Drosophila melanogaster: one gene and its partners. The protein of the gene in region 1 interacts with the protein of each later gene in a pairwise test. Each region holds a gene or a part of one and is shown in the gene's direction. Other genes may lie near its edges.

Evidence for each region. Proteins that work in one complex are often made in the same cells at the same time.
Region 2: the proteins of CG14627 (region 1) and SkpC interact in a two-hybrid assay, tested with the Drosophila melanogaster proteins (one large-scale study listed by BioGRID).
Region 3: the proteins of CG14627 (region 1) and MagR interact in a two-hybrid assay, tested with the Drosophila melanogaster proteins (one large-scale study listed by BioGRID).

The regions. Positions count from the first base shown.
Region 1 is NC_004354.4:1,179,273-1,184,813, forward strand, and holds CG14627 (uncharacterized protein), read left to right. Parts: upstream 1-2,347; 5' UTR 2,348-2,529; intron 2,530-2,595; exon of another isoform or gene 2,596-2,758; intron 2,759-2,829; coding exon 2,830-3,642; 3' UTR 3,643-4,077; downstream 4,078-5,541. Other genes in the region: CG11379 (uncharacterized protein), read left to right, coding at 992-1,597.
Region 2 is NC_004354.4:19,813,635-19,818,164, forward strand, and holds SkpC (SKP1-related C), read left to right. Parts: upstream 1-2,437; 5' UTR 2,438-2,503; coding exon 2,504-2,980; 3' UTR 2,981-3,066; downstream 3,067-4,530.
Region 3 is NC_004354.4:15,732,072-15,737,244, forward strand, and holds MagR (magnetic receptor), read left to right. Parts: upstream 1-2,198; 5' UTR 2,199-2,297; coding exon 2,298-2,381; intron 2,382-2,481; coding exon 2,482-2,535; intron 2,536-3,027; coding exon 3,028-3,103; intron 3,104-3,172; coding exon 3,173-3,250; intron 3,251-3,317; coding exon 3,318-3,421; 3' UTR 3,422-3,709; downstream 3,710-5,173. Other genes in the region: CG8191 (uncharacterized protein), read left to right, coding at 120-1,157; CG12379 (uncharacterized protein), read right to left, coding at 1,171-1,482, 1,640-1,852; Arp6 (Actin-related protein 6), read right to left, coding at 3,766-4,962. UniProt on the Drosophila melanogaster protein: Involved in the assembly of mitochondrial iron-sulfur proteins. Probably involved in the binding of an intermediate of Fe/S cluster assembly. Required for maintenance of circadian rhythms under constant darkness.

The DNA.
Region 1 (5,541 bases):
AGAGGAGCGGAGCAACAATGCTCACCCAGAGATGAGATAAGAACAGCCGCTGGAGGAGGACAAAGCAGCTTGACGAATTACTTGGCAGCTGCTCCTAGTGAAATCCCTGGGAGAATCAAGGAGCAGCGGGCGGGGCGGGGGCGAGCTGTGCGGGAAAGGACGAGGCGCAAGAAATTTAATTTGACCAACATTTTGATGTATCAAGTTCAGTTGAAGCCGAAGATTTATGACTTGCTGACAGAGCAAGCGGAGCAGCATCACCAGGATTGGGACGTCATGTCGGCAGAGAACAGTGCGGAGCAAGTGCATGCAAGAAATTTTATTCCATGCCAACCAGCCTAATCATTTTATAAATCATCTTGGTTTACCAGACGTACATATATATTATTGTACATATAAAGATCTGGAAGAGCTTATCTATGAGTTTCTCCATGATCATGCTCAAGCTTTAAAGTCCAAAAGTTGGAGCCGCAAAGCTTTGGCCGAAACAAAAATGAAAGTAAGCTGACTACTATCGAGCACATTTCCCATTTCCACTTGCCTCACGTAATGAGCCCACTGAAAATGAGGAAAACAAGGCCTTGACATCTGAGCCTGTTTGACTTGTGGTGATAATTGCAATTGGCGCGGTGTCTGTGACTTCAACTGTGACGCAGACAGTGACTGTGATTACACAAAGAGGAAACCTATGCCATTACCGATGGGGTATTCTGCCACGCAAGAATGCTGTATAAATCATAATATATAAATTATAAATTGAAAAGATAACATCGAATATATTAAATATTGCCTTTAAAAACTTTAACAGAGTTTACAACTTGCTTTTTGTATCACTTCTTAAAATAACAAGGAATACTTGTACACAAGTGTTCGGAGTTAACCAAGTAGTGACTGCTGCTTTAAAAGTCAGTTGAATAATTCAGTTTAAGGCTTTCTGACCCGAATTTACTCCCGTAAAACTGGAAGTGTACACCTAGGAGGACATCTGGAGATGGCTCGACTAATGGCCTTGATCATGGCGGTGTTGCTTCACTCGGTACTGGGCATCTCGTACTACTACTACTTTCGCGAATCTCCCGGCTCCGCTGCTCCTCTCTTGGGCGCCTGGCTCTTTTCCGCCTGCGTGGTGACCCTTCTTCACGGGGTGAGGATGTTTTCAAGTGCCCTGCCCGCCGATCAGCGGTTCAGGAATGGGAATCGAAACCTTCGCGGCAATGAGTCGTCCTGGGCATCGCTCTTACTGGAGACAGGCGTCTGCTGTTTGGTGCTGGATCTGACCCTTAGCAAACTGTGGCATCGCATAGAGTCCCTCTGCCAGTGCGCCATTGTGGGCATACTCCAGGCCTTGGCCGTCGAGGAGCAAACCTTCCTGGTCTGCGAGTACTGGACTTTGGGCCTGACTACCGGCCTGATCGGCGCATGTCTTCTGTGGCTTTCCCTATGGGCCACCGCGTTGCCCCAGAAGCTCCGCTGCGGGATGCTCGACTGGCGTCGCACCCTTCATCGCCGCTGCTCCGCGCTGATCTTCGGAAGTCTCGAGCCCGGCACTCCAATGCAGACCCAATCCCAGGGAAGCGCACAGAGCTTTGCCAATTGAGACGGAGGGGTGACCATTCCACTTCCACAGCCATATCACACTACCTCAGTCAATAGCTAAATTTATGGTTCAAATTATACTAAAAGCGTTTTAATAGGCACAGTGGGACACAACGGGCTGCATCATAAATTGAATTATGAATAACCATAATAGTAAATTTCGATTCAAAGCGTAGTTTCTTTTAGCTTCTTTAAGAAAAAAATAAACTCAAAAATCGAACATATATTAAATCGCAAGACCACTTTCTGACCGAATCCATGAAGCCAATTTGAAGCGGACAACTACCGGCCAAACTGCCAACCACTGGGGGCTGTCATCCCCCCGAAAAAGACTTGTAAACTCGTTAGCCGTAGCCGTACCCATATGCAATGCGGAAGAGGACCGATCCGAGATCCAAAAGCGACACGCCCCCAAACAACCGATTCGGTTTCGGTTTCGGATTCGGAAGACGGAACCCAGCGGCTCAAAGTAAAGCAAAGCAAGTCGATCGAAAGCGAAAACGAAACCATTACTCTGATGCGCGATCGATGGCTGTAAACTTGAACTTGAAGCGTAGCCAAAAGCGATGGACACCACGACGGCAAACAGCAACTGGCAACTAGCAAATAGCAACTGGCAACTAGCAACTTGCAACTTGCAACTAGCGACATGCAAGAGCCTGGCACACGCAACAATGCCGCTGAAATGCTTCCAAGGCAGTGCCAGCCAAATGCTGTTGCTTGCTGGCGCGCTGTCGTGTTTCGCACTGGTTAAAACTGCAGCCGCAGCCTGTTGCCAATTGCGGGAAATTGGTCGGGTCGTCGAGCGATATAAAAGCCTGGCTGGCAATGCAGCCGTGTTAATCAAAGCGCGTCGCTCGCCAGGAAAAGTGCAAGTGTTTTCCACGCTCCCAGGCAGCATTCAAACTCAAATCGCAGAGAAAATTCAGCGAGGTGAAATACGCATACTTTTTTTTTCTGTGCTTATAATAAAATCGAAAGGTGTTCCAAAATATCTGACCTTCGTGTTGCAGAATTAACTAAGCTGCTATAGCAGATATAGTTCAGTTACAAGTGCAGCTTACGATACAATTTTTCCATTTCGGATGCACTTCGCGTCCTGAAAATCAGCTTCGGGTATAAGCAGCAAAATGTTATTTTATAATATCCTTTGGGTTAACAAGTAAAATATATTATCGCAAATATTTTTCATGAACACGATCCCTTAACTTTTCTCTTATTCGCTACGTGTAGATGCTGTGCCACCGACACATTCACATCCATTGCCAGCTGTTCCTGCTGCAGCTCCTGGTGATGCCCCTACTTCAGGGTTCCCCCGTTTCGAGTCCGGAGATAGCTAGTAAGGGTTCCAAGTCCCCGAATGGCCTGCCACAGGTGCAACAGCAGCAGCAACAGCAACAGGAGGCCCACCTGAACTCGCTGAGTGCCTATGCCAGTGGCTATGACATGGCCCAGAACCAGGCTCAAGTCCAAAATCAGCTTCAGGGCCAGATTCCATCACAAACGGATCCGGCATTCAAGCCCTCGTACAAGATGCCCGAGATGGAGACCAACTTCACGCCCATGCAAACGGCGGGAACACCAAGTGTGTCCAGTTTACCGTCTACTCCCATGCTCATGCAGTATCTTCCGGCCCAGGCAATCCAGGATGGATCCGGAAACTCGGTTCAGTACCTTCAGCTGATACCCACCCGCCCGATCATAGTGCCCATTTCGCCGTACCTCTCGGCTGCCGCAGCAGCCAGCGGATCTCAACCTGCAATCTCCGCCGGCGCACAGCCAGACTTCGGAGGACGAACGGCCACTGTTTTGAGTGCTCTGCCGCCCAACTACGCAGCTCTGCAGGGTTACGCCAGTGGGTCCATCAATCCAGCCGCCGCCTTCCGCAATACCTATCGGATCAATCGCGAGGCCAAGGACAAACACTTCCCGCCCTCGTTCTCGCTTAATCTCAACGAGTACTTGCCAGCCGCCTCGTTGGGACTGACCGGAGGCCATGACGCCTCCGTCAATAGTCCACATGTGTATCTGCGGACCAGGTCATAGGATGTCAGCTACCGCCAAAGTCTCGCAACGTTCGAGCCTCTTTTTCTCTTCCGGAATAAAGCCTTATATGTATATATGTAAAGTGAGCCTGTGATTATTTTATGCAAGTCTATATCCCACTCAATTCAATCTAAGCCTTTCCACCTTGAAATGTTACACAATACGATACGAGTACAACCTACCCGACCATCTTGTGATTTTAGAAATTGGTTTTCCCATAATTCAAGAGCCGCGATTAATATAATGGAAAAAGCAGCAGTATAATGGACAGTATATAGCACATATGGCAAAACAGTTTGCTTCCCATTCAATTTACATAACTCCCTTTTATCTGAGTCACTGGTGTCGTTCTTCAGCGGCCTTCCACCTTTCGTTTCGTTTTCACACCAACCCAAACACCGCCGTGCTAAGAAGACCCAACAAACCAACCTAACGAAACCCAAATAAACACAAATGAAATCCAGACGTTATCGTATCTAGACTGTTTATTTGCACAGCGCCAAATAGGGGACAGTGAGCAAACAAACACACCTTTTAGGCTGGAACCCCCAGCCGAAGGTCGTCTTGGTCTTGTGCAGAATGCAGGCCATTGTTTTTGTTTCTCTTTCATTTGCGTGAAAGTGACCAAAACACACTATTTCGCGCCCGACCGGAACAGAGACGGTTAAGTATGGTTCAGTTGGAGAGTGTGTGCTGCGCCACAAAACCTTGGAGTTGCGTCAGTGCTGCCAGCCATTTGGTCTGTCTACTCCTAATTGTCACAATTTGACAAATTTATTTGGAATTTACTGGCTCAAATCGAAATAGGGCCATCATTGCCTCTATTCCGAGTCGCGGAGTAAGTAAAGGGGCGCTCAGCCCAAAGCATCTTTCACTTGCCGCATTAAGTGGAGCAAATGACTAAAGGCCTGACCCCGGTGAAACATCGACAAAGGCATACACTTCTGGTTTGCGAGATTTCTATGTAACGCTTGTACGATAACAAATTATATAGAAATTAGCTTGAGAATATTGTAAATAAAATATTCAGAAGAATTTGCACCCTGCAAACCATTTGAATCAATATAATAGATCGACTTTATTAGATCGTGAGGAATTCTATTCACTATTCATAGAACGCCTTACACTCTTCACACGACCCTTTCAGTTAGGGTACTAAACGCAATTTGAGAGGCATTCCACTGCGCACTGAGTGCCACAATTCACTTTCAATCACCGACCATTCCACATGTCGTCGATGCATCGACGATGACGAGATGATATGCTCTCGATAATGTGGAGGACGCCCCGTGGCGGCGAATCCCTTGTAATGGGATTTGGATTTGGATGGTTCGGATGGCCACTTGCCACAAAGTTTTGGCTGCGGAAATGAGCGGTTATCGATGGTCTGACTTCGCGTTTGAGTCCGCGGCTCGAACTCGATTAATGGTCGTATTTTCCTCGAGATGTATGTAGATGACTTACATAGCTGTTTCGAAGGGGTGCGCGCTTCACTTGTCCGACGTTGTTATAACACTTTAAAACGCGTAAATTAGCCTTTGTTGTTGCTGGGCGGTGCTCGCTTTGTTGCCGCTGATTGAGTTTGAAATGATTTCAATTTGAGTTGCCGAGCTTGCAGCTATTTACTTTCCTTTTCAATTAATTGCCGCAGATCTAAACGGATCCAATCCGCCTTTGTGCTCCCCATCTATCTATTCATCTTTCCATCCTTCGCTCATCTGCATCTCTAGCTGCCCAACAAATGCCGCCCATTTGGTTCCGATAATCGAGATTCGGTTTAGAGTTTTGAGTTTCAAGATCCAAGACCCGAGACCAGAGAGAATTAGACGCCACTACTATAAAACGCCGTGTCAGAGCTTCGCGCCATTGCAGTCGCCTCAGCGCTCGTCTCTCGCTCGG
Region 2 (4,530 bases), about 19 Mb from region 1:
TGAAAGTGTGGATATATGTATAGTATAAACTATTTTTATGAAATATGCATATAAGATCATTTGGATGTTTGGTTCAGACTGGTTACGTGTAACGAAAAGAATTGATGGAAGGCAAGGGAACCTGTACTGGCGGATGCACGCTTCAGAATCCGGCTCTAGCTCTTTGGCGTTGTGGGGTGGTGGTCTATGCTTGCGACAAAAGAATATAGGAGTTAGTATACAAAATCGGAGGAAGCAAATTAATATATTCGAACGAAGATAGTTCAAGAAGAGAATGAAAGCATGAAACAATAGGTGTACCTATGACCTAGCTTTCCTTGAGAGCAATGGCTCTAGTGGCCCCTTATGTGCCCTATGTCCGGAGAAACATCAGCCGAGTTCAGTATTTTAATTTTTACATATTCATTTCTATCATTTGCTGACTAATGATTAATAACAATATTTATAGGAACCAATAATAAGTACATAACAAATTGAAATAAATTTAATTTGCTCAGAGTAAGGTGATAGATAATGACTTATGTAAGTTAAGAAAAAAAACTATAATTAAATAGACGTTAAGATGACTAAATATAATCTAAAAAAAAAAGAATAAATTATTTATTTAAGTTTTTCCATATTTCAGTTTTTTTTTTCAGTGTTGTTGTTCTTCACGATATTCTTGTTTTATAAATTATTACTTTTTTTTCAAATCAGTTTCTTTAATCAGTAAAAATTAAATGTAAGTGAGTGGGTTGCGGGTAAGGTCGGTTAGATTTTAATTAATATTTAATAGCTTATAGTCTAGCAATATAATTAGGGTTCAAGCAATTGTTCTCAGTGTATTCATTTGTCGCGTTAATCTGTATAGAATTTGTTCAACTTTGGGAAAAACAAGAGAGAATGCTATAGTCGAGTTCCCCGACTATCAGATACCCGTTACTCAGAAAAATCGATAGATATAAAAAAAAATTATAAAAATTTTAAAAAATTATTCCAAAGTGTGGGCGTGACCGGTTGGGCGGTTTTAGGGCGTTCGAGTGGGTGTGGCAAAATTTTTGTTTTTATCAATAGAAATTTACGAGACTAATAAAAATTTGAAATAATATCAACACGTTTTTCGAAAGTGTGGGCGTGGCAGTTTTGTGCGGTTTGTGGGCGTGGCAAATTAAATAAAAATTAAAAATACAAAAGTAATATAAAATAAGTCTCCTCCTTGGGTTCACATTTAAAGGAATTATTGCGAATAATTCAAATATTTGCGGATATAATTATTCAGAAAATTTCTCTCAGTGTACATTCGCAGTTTGATATCTTTCACGCAAGTATAGGTTTAGGTCCGATAGAATTTATCAATATGTTTACTTCAGCAGAAACTTCTCCCTCTGTATTCATGTCTTCTAACCCTAAAATTATTCTTGTCCACATGCTCACTTTTTTTAATTAATATATCTTTTAAGCATTTAAATTAAATACAAATCTTAGGGTTTTGGTTTATGTGCGGCTGCTGTCAATCGATGGGAAGGGGTGATCCCCGGGACGGCTCGAAAAGGGTGCTCCACAAGACGGCATGACTCGAGTTCATTTTTTTGCTGACCGCCTAATAGGTTAGAGCCTTTGCGTCAACTGGCACACAAAAAAAAAAACTTAAATCGCGTTCCGTTTGGCGGCTAGGAAAACTCACTCGAATAATGGTATTTTCGCACTTTGTTTTTGCTATCCAAAACGGACACTTTTTTGGCCGAATTGCATCCTCATCCTCGTATTAAGTACGTAATTAAGTACTAAAGCTAGCAAATCGAAATTCTTCTTTGTATCTTGGATTTAATATTAATATATTATTTTGGAACTCGGTTCAAAATACAGTTTTACGGTAACTGAAAATTTTGATTCTGTTAAGTGTATATATTTTATGGAAAGCAAGTTACACATAATTGGAGTGTTTCATAAAACAATAATAATACAGTAAAAGGGAATGTTAGAATCGCTAATGAGTATGTAACAGGTAGAAAGTGCCTTCTGTCCGTCTGTTTTTCAAATGAAAAAATATATATTTAATTTAAAGTTTTTTTGAAAAATTAGAGCAAGTAATGTAAGCCCACGTGCTATTTTCCAGTTCCCTCTGTTAAAAATATTTTTTACGGGGTTCTTTCCGGAACTATTATTTTGAAATTTTTTGATTGAGCACTTACCCAACATTCATATAGGTTTTAAAATTCATATTACACTTTTTTTTATTACACTTTTAAGGTCTGATATGATAAATAAAACACGATTCGCGATTCTCAATAAAAAAGCTAAAGCGAATCTACAGTTCTTAATGTTAAGACTTCCAATTTCTAGTGTGTACACACTTGACGACAGTGATTCCGCAGTGATCACATCTGGTCACTCTGTTCTCTATTCTTTTTTCTTTGAACTTTCGAATCGTCCAGTTGGCACGTGCTCTATCAATCATCCCATCTTGTTCTTCTGAATCTCTTTGAACGTAGTTTGGCAAATAGAAAGGCAAGGCAAACCGAAAATGGATGCTCCCACCATCAAGCTTGAGTCCTCGGATGGGATGATCTTTTCAACGGAAGTCCGAGCCGCCAAGCTCTCCGAAACCATCAAGACCATGTTGGAGGTCTCTGCCGTGGAGAACGACGAGAATGCCATTGTGCCGCTGCCCAAGGTGAACGCGTTCATCCTATCCAAGATTCTGACCTGGATCTATCACCACAAGGACGATGATGCCCATGGAGCGGAGGGCGTGGAGTTGAGCCCGCAAAGCCCACATGACATCTCAGCCTGGGACGCCAACTTTATTAACGTCGATCAACCCACCTTGTTCGAAATCATACTGGCCGCCAACTATCTGGAGATCAAGGGCCTAGTGGATCTCTGTTGCAAGACGGTGGCCAATATGATTAGGGGAAAGACTCCCGAGGAGATCCGCCACACGTTCAACATCCCGGACGAAATACCGAGCAGGACGGCCCAGTTGGGCGAAGACCTGTGAGGCACAGTCTCTTTCGGAGCAAATCCGGTTGGGACACCTGGAACCTTCCTTTGTTGAGAACTTATTTGTTTCACCAGAATAAATATGATATTACGAGTATTTTTGAAAGCATATCTATTGTATTTTATCAACATATTCAGTTTACAGTTTACTTTGGCAACAAGAACACATAAAACATAACTTTTTAAATCGTTTCATGTTCGCTTGGGCTAAAGGAGTGCTCTGGCTCTATTCCCAGTTGATTGCCACCAAGCCGCCCGGGGATACAAGCACACACCACACACCACACCACACACCGACCCACTCCACTCCATAGCACCCCAATCCCGGAATCCTGGTGCTCCTTAAGCCGGTTCCTGATTTGGCAGCCACGCTAATTTCCAAAAGCCTTGGCCGTTGGCGCTTATGAGCTCTGCATCCATGAAGTTCGCATTACGTATGTAAAATAGTGCAGAAAACCCCCAAATGAACCCAAGCCCAGGGTCCCAATCCTCGTATTCCAAACCCTTGGACACAACTTACGCACTTTACATACCGTTGCGGGGTGGGGAGGCGGGTGGTGGGTGGCAGGAGGCTGGGCAATGTCCTTTATTGTAAGTTAAGTTGCTGCCCACACATCTGTGTGTGAATGTGGGAGGGGGCGGCCTACGGCTTGCCACTCGCCTTTCTTCGTCCGTTTCATGTGTGCTTGAAATTTAAAATGCTCTGTGGAAATTGGTTTAGTCATGTATGTATGTATGTATGTATGTATGTGCCCAGTGTGCGTTTGTTTGTGTGTGTGCTTAGGGGGTGAAAGCATACACATACAAGAATGTCAGGTGGGCGTATGTGTGTGCGTGTATATGTGGCCATTGGTTTTCCTGCATAAACATAACAAAAATATAGCCAAATGTGCCACACTCGACTTAAGATTCTCAATTGTAAAGTACGCAATGTATGTACATATGTATACATATATTTATGGAAATATAAAAATATTAATATCAAAATTTATTTACCTTGTGCTCTGTAATTTGTTGAAAATTGAATAAATTTCAGAATGGTATGCTATATAGCTGCTCAATAAGAATAATAATGCAGTGGATATAATTATATGTTTGTTCTAAACGATATAAATATGTACGTTGTATCATTATTATGAATATTATCATCATTATCAACTTTACAAGAAATGCACGTATATTACACTTCAGTGAGAAGACACTATCCAAAATGTGTGCCAAGTGCTGTCAGTTTTGCCCCACTGTGCACCACGCCGCACAATTGCCTCGGGCGATTGTTGTTGCTAACTGTGTCGGTGATAGCGGAGCGAGCGGATAGTTTGCTTGGCCATAAGTTGTGAGGCATCCTTTGTAGTTTGCAACCGCATACCCATTTCATCAGGCATGCTTGTACATACATACATACATACATATGTATGTACATACATAATGGGCAAGTCGGCGACACACTTCGAAAGGATTAAATTCTGTTTTAGTAATTAAGTTGAAATTTATAATCAAGCCGAGGGTGGACCAGTTATGTACAGGCCCATCGACATATCCCAGTTT
Region 3 (5,173 bases), about 15 Mb from region 1:
ATTTGAAATTCGATTCTATCGCAACGGGCAACGACAGATCGATATCTCATGCACAGCAAACCGATCGACATTATCGATTGTGACATCGAATTTTCGGACAGCTGACAGCTGCAGTCCGTATGGATTTGTTTATCCGAAAAGAACTGAGCCTATCCACGAGCAGCGTGCTTGAAGATGTGGCGCCGCACTGTCTCAAGCTACTCACATGGCTGCACGATTGTCAGGAGGAGATGCACTCCGAGCACCGCCATCTGCGACTGAGCCAATCCGTTGTGGAATCCCTGCTAAAGGCTCACCTGTACCTGTTCGAGTGCTATGATCGCTTCGGGCAATCGCTGGCCGAACGCTGCGATTGCCGTGGCTTCTTCGCTAGCTGCTCTGCATTGGTGGATCGACGGAAGTGTATTCGTGAGCTGTGTACCACCATCGTGAACACACGAAAGGGAGAAACTCATGCACCACTGCTTCATCTTTCGCATCGAACGTTGGCCGAGATTCAGCCTGCGTGGAGTGAGATCGGTGATTTGGACTGGTCGGCAATACGCCAATCGGATGCGCTTTCTTCCAGCGATTTTATCAATCCCGATCTTCAGCAGATGCGACGGCTAGTCAAGCGGATTGGCCGCTTATCCAGCCTTGAGGACATGCAGACCGCAATAAAGCGCTCCATGGAGCTGATTGAGTACCAGGTGTGGCTGCAGCTTTTTAGGGAGCCAAAGGACAGCGAAATTCACAAGGATTGCTACCTAATGCGCCACATGATCTGTGACACTTTATCGGAGGGCGGATCTACCGCTTGCACCGGCTTCCTGCACAATATCTTTCTGTTCGTATCGCAATCCGCCAATGAGATGAGATTCTGGGCCAGTATGGAGCATGTACGTCTGGCCGGCAGCCTTATTGCCTACCTAATCGACCATTGGAATCGCCACCTGCCCTACCTAGACTTGGATGAGATGCAATTGACCGCTGATGCACCAGTCACGGCTGTCTCGCAGCTGCCCGTGAACGAGGCCACATACATAACCTACCTGATGCTGGCCACCGGATCCATATGTCGCCGGCAGTTCGCCCAGCAGCTGCGTGCCCAACTACCCCCCAATTCCTGGACACATTTGCTGGAGCTGCTAAATAAAGTGGCATTCGTTTTCACTTAACTACACTACGAGTTTAATCATGTTTCGGCAAAAACTCGCAGTTGCCATCGGTCAGGCGAACCACCTTCTCGCCCTTCTCGGCCAGGATCTCCTCGATGTTGCGCTTGCCGTCCAGATCTGTGAACCAGTTCAGATTGTCGGCGATCAGGTGGTGATTGGAGCAGCCCTCGCAGGTCACGATAACAACGCCGCGTTGGTATGCCAGCTTCGAAATGGTCTTCATGTTCCGGGTCTGGCACACCTTGCAGGTGTAGATCAGCTGCATCTTGGCCTCCAGTTTCGCCAGAGGAATGCTATTCGTGGCCACCGTCTTGTCCGCATCGTCCTGGGAGCAGAGCAAAATAATTATACTTAACTTTTTTGTTATACATAATTTTAAATATTGCATTCCATTTATAATATTTTAAATTACAAATGTAAATAACATTATTTAATATCAATTGGGTAGTTTATTTGTATTTACAACTGATTTCCAAACATACCACTGGCTTACTGCAGTGTATACTGCGGCAAATGCACGTGTAGTTGTTGCTGCTGCTAAAAACAGCTGTTTGTGTTTTGGTTGCAAAGTGATGCACTTGCAACTGCAATTGTGGACTATTTAAAGCATCAATTTGTGTTCTTCGGGAACTGGTAAGTAGTGCGCCTCTTCTCACACCTGCGCTGATTTTATAAAATTTTTTTAGGGCGGACATATCCTCGATTTTGTTGATATTATTTAACTCAATCGAAAAGTGTGAAATTCATTTAAACTTAGAGATGGCACCTCCTTTCATTTCAAAACTAGTCGCGAGTCACGATTTTAAAAAGTTACTATAGCTGTCACTGGTGCTGATAAAATTTGCTGTAACTCACAGACATTAAAACCAATTGTTAATATAAATTCTACTGTGAAATATTAAGTTAAGTTATTAATGAAGTCCACCTGGACTCTGGGGCTTAAAAATAACTTATTTTTCAAACAGGTAGTAACCGTTTCTCCGCTATCCCGTGACACTGCCAATCGATGACATCTGTTAATGCCATCTCACGTGATACTATCGACAGTACTATCGACCATCTGGTAGTAAGCACTCATATTTTCGAATTTTTTTTGTGGAAATTCTCGAGTCAAACAAATTATATAAAGGGCACGAACCGATGGCGACACGTGTGGTGGCAACGGCGACAGTGCGGGCGGTGAAAGGCCGGAAGTTAATCCCGACGCGGGCCGCTCTGACTCTGGTAAGGAAACCAAAACCTGGTGAAATCGGCGCATGCTGCTGCTGATGAAGTAACAGTCCCCTTCGATCTGATGATTCTGATCTCCCCCAATCCTTTTCAGACACCCGCGGCGGTGCTACGCATCAAGACGCTTCTGCAGGACAAGCCGGACATGGTGAGTGACTGCTGACAAGTTGTCATCGAACCAAGGCTACACTTTAGTGGGCATTCTATCGCCTTCCACGATTGAGATCTTGATAATCTCGCCTAGCTCTTTAAAGGTTCCCGTGCATGTTATTTAAGTTTTAGCACTGGTTGCATGGAGTATAGGAAGTTCGCAAGAGGGCTTCTTCAAGCATTATATTTGACAATAGGCTTTTTCCTCAGTCAGTCATATATTTTAGCGCAAATTATTAGCTATAAATATAAGCCATGCTAACTAATTCGGCCTGCGTTAATCAGCTAGATTTTCCAAATTTTGACCCGACCAAATTTTGATGAGCATGTTTATCTTGTTGTTAATCATTTAGTTTTTAAGTGATTAAATTCTTTGAATTGAGACAGACTTATTAGAATACCGAGTTCTTTGTCTTTGGTCAATAAACAAGGCTGCCTATAAATTAGCCACACAGTTAATGACAGAAATTCGATGTTGTTTCTGCCACAGGTTGGCCTAAAGGTGGGCGTACGGCAGCGAGGATGCAATGGTCTGTCCTACACGCTGGACTATGCCAGCCAAAAAGGTAAGCCACTCTGGACAGAATGTTGTTCGGTGGAGATCTAATGCTGCGTTCTGTGTCGATTTTTGCCAGCAGACAAGTTGGATGAGGAGGTGGTCCAGGATGGCGTCAAGGTCTTCATCGACAAGAAAGCGCAGTTGTCGCTGCTGGGTAAGTTCATACCAGCTTAGCATAGCATTGGACAAGCCAGCTAATACAGAGTATAATTCGCTTGCAGGTACCGAGATGGACTTTGTGGAATCGAAGCTGTCCAGCGAGTTCGTGTTTAACAATCCGAACATTAAGGGCACATGCGGCTGCGGCGAATCGTTCAGCATGTAAACCGATGGAGATCCGGAGGAGATCCGCCGGCACCCGCCTCGCAGACAGACCTAAATTAACTAAGTTAAATGCAGTACGCGGCCCGACCTTGTATCTCATTACGTTGTTGGCAAAAGCACCGCATCCTTTGTAAATTTTACTTCGCAAACGAATTCTAAATATTAAGTTGTGTTCTATAGTTAAATTTTAGTTGTAGCGCTAGGTAAGTGACGCACCCGCTTCCTTGCCGCAGGCTGGCAGTTTGTCCTCTTTAGCCCTAGTTCAATATATAGACAAGGAATGTTCTAGAAAACCCATGTGCAAATCAAGTTTATTATTGAAAAAATACTTCGACTACGTGCATGTTACCGCTGATTGATACCCTGGAAACCGTACTCCTCGTAGTCGTCTTGCGTGTAAACAAACTCTTCAAAGTTGGGGCTGGTCGCAACCTCCTTGCCGCCGTACCACGCGTACCGCACCGGATCCTCGGGACAGATGAGTGACACTTCAAGATCGTCGGGCACCAGGGCACGTAAATCGCGCTTTAGGCGCGGCAGAAATCCCGGAAACTGGGCACTGCCGCCCACAATAAGGATGTTGAGCAGGAGTTCGCGGTGCGCTTCCCAGGGGCAAGCCTTCAGACAATCGGCCACCGCTTCCGGAATGCCCACCTGTTGCACACCAATGTCCGAGGGATTGAAGAGCAGCTCGGGCACGGTGAAACGTTCATTGCACAGCGACACCATTTGCTGTTGCTCCTCATCCTCGCGCGGCTTTCCGGGAACACGAACATAGCCCCGTTTGACGGTGGTGAAGTCTGGAAGGACATAATCAACTGTGACTTCGCGTCGCTTCTCCTCCGAATAATGCACCTGCATCGCCTGCTTGAAGTCCTCCGCCACAAAGCAGACATCTTCCTTGATCTGGTTAACTACATGACTCTCGTCCATGACGTTTAGGTGGCGATAAGAGATTAGCTCCTTTAGCTGGTTGGTCAGCGCCTTCCCGCCCATGTCGATGCGTCGTATGCCTTGGAGAACGCGCCGTCCCAGCACAAAAGGAACAACGTGGGTGAAACTGTAGCCTACATCGATGATGATGCAGTTAAGCGATTCCATTGTAGTCCGCTCCTCGCTGTCAGCCACATAGTTAAAGGCAGCCAGATCGGCAGCAGTGGTCTTGTACACCCCATCAACCTTGTACTCCTCAAACAGAATCTCCAGCGTTGCCTCCTGGATGCTCTGGAAGTTCATCTGCGGCTCAGTGATGACAATATTGCGGTTCTCCAGCGAACAACCAATGCCGTCCTTGCTGAATATGTAATCCCACACCGTTTTCTGTGTGTGCCAGTTGAGCAGGTAGCCGCGCTGGAACGCCAGAATGTAATAGAGCGCCGATGTGTCCCGGCATTCATCTATCTGATTTCCCACAAAAGCGCGTCGCCGCTCGCTCTTTGCTTTCATGATGCAGTTGGGCACCACATGGGGCTCATCCTGATTGGCCAGGCCCACTTTCGCCGTATGCGCTCCGTTGTCCAACACCACCACAGCGTTGGCCATCCTTTTCGTCCTCAACGTAGATCTATACCATTTTTCGGAAGAGGACAACAAACAACACTTCTTCTGTTCTAGTGCTGTCGATTAATTTGTTCAATCTATCGAGATTTTTAAAATCGTTATTTTTGGTGTTTTAACGGTCTACATCAAATTAAATAAGGAAAACAAAAACAAAATGAAAACACAAGAAACAACTTTTTGGAATGCTAATAAT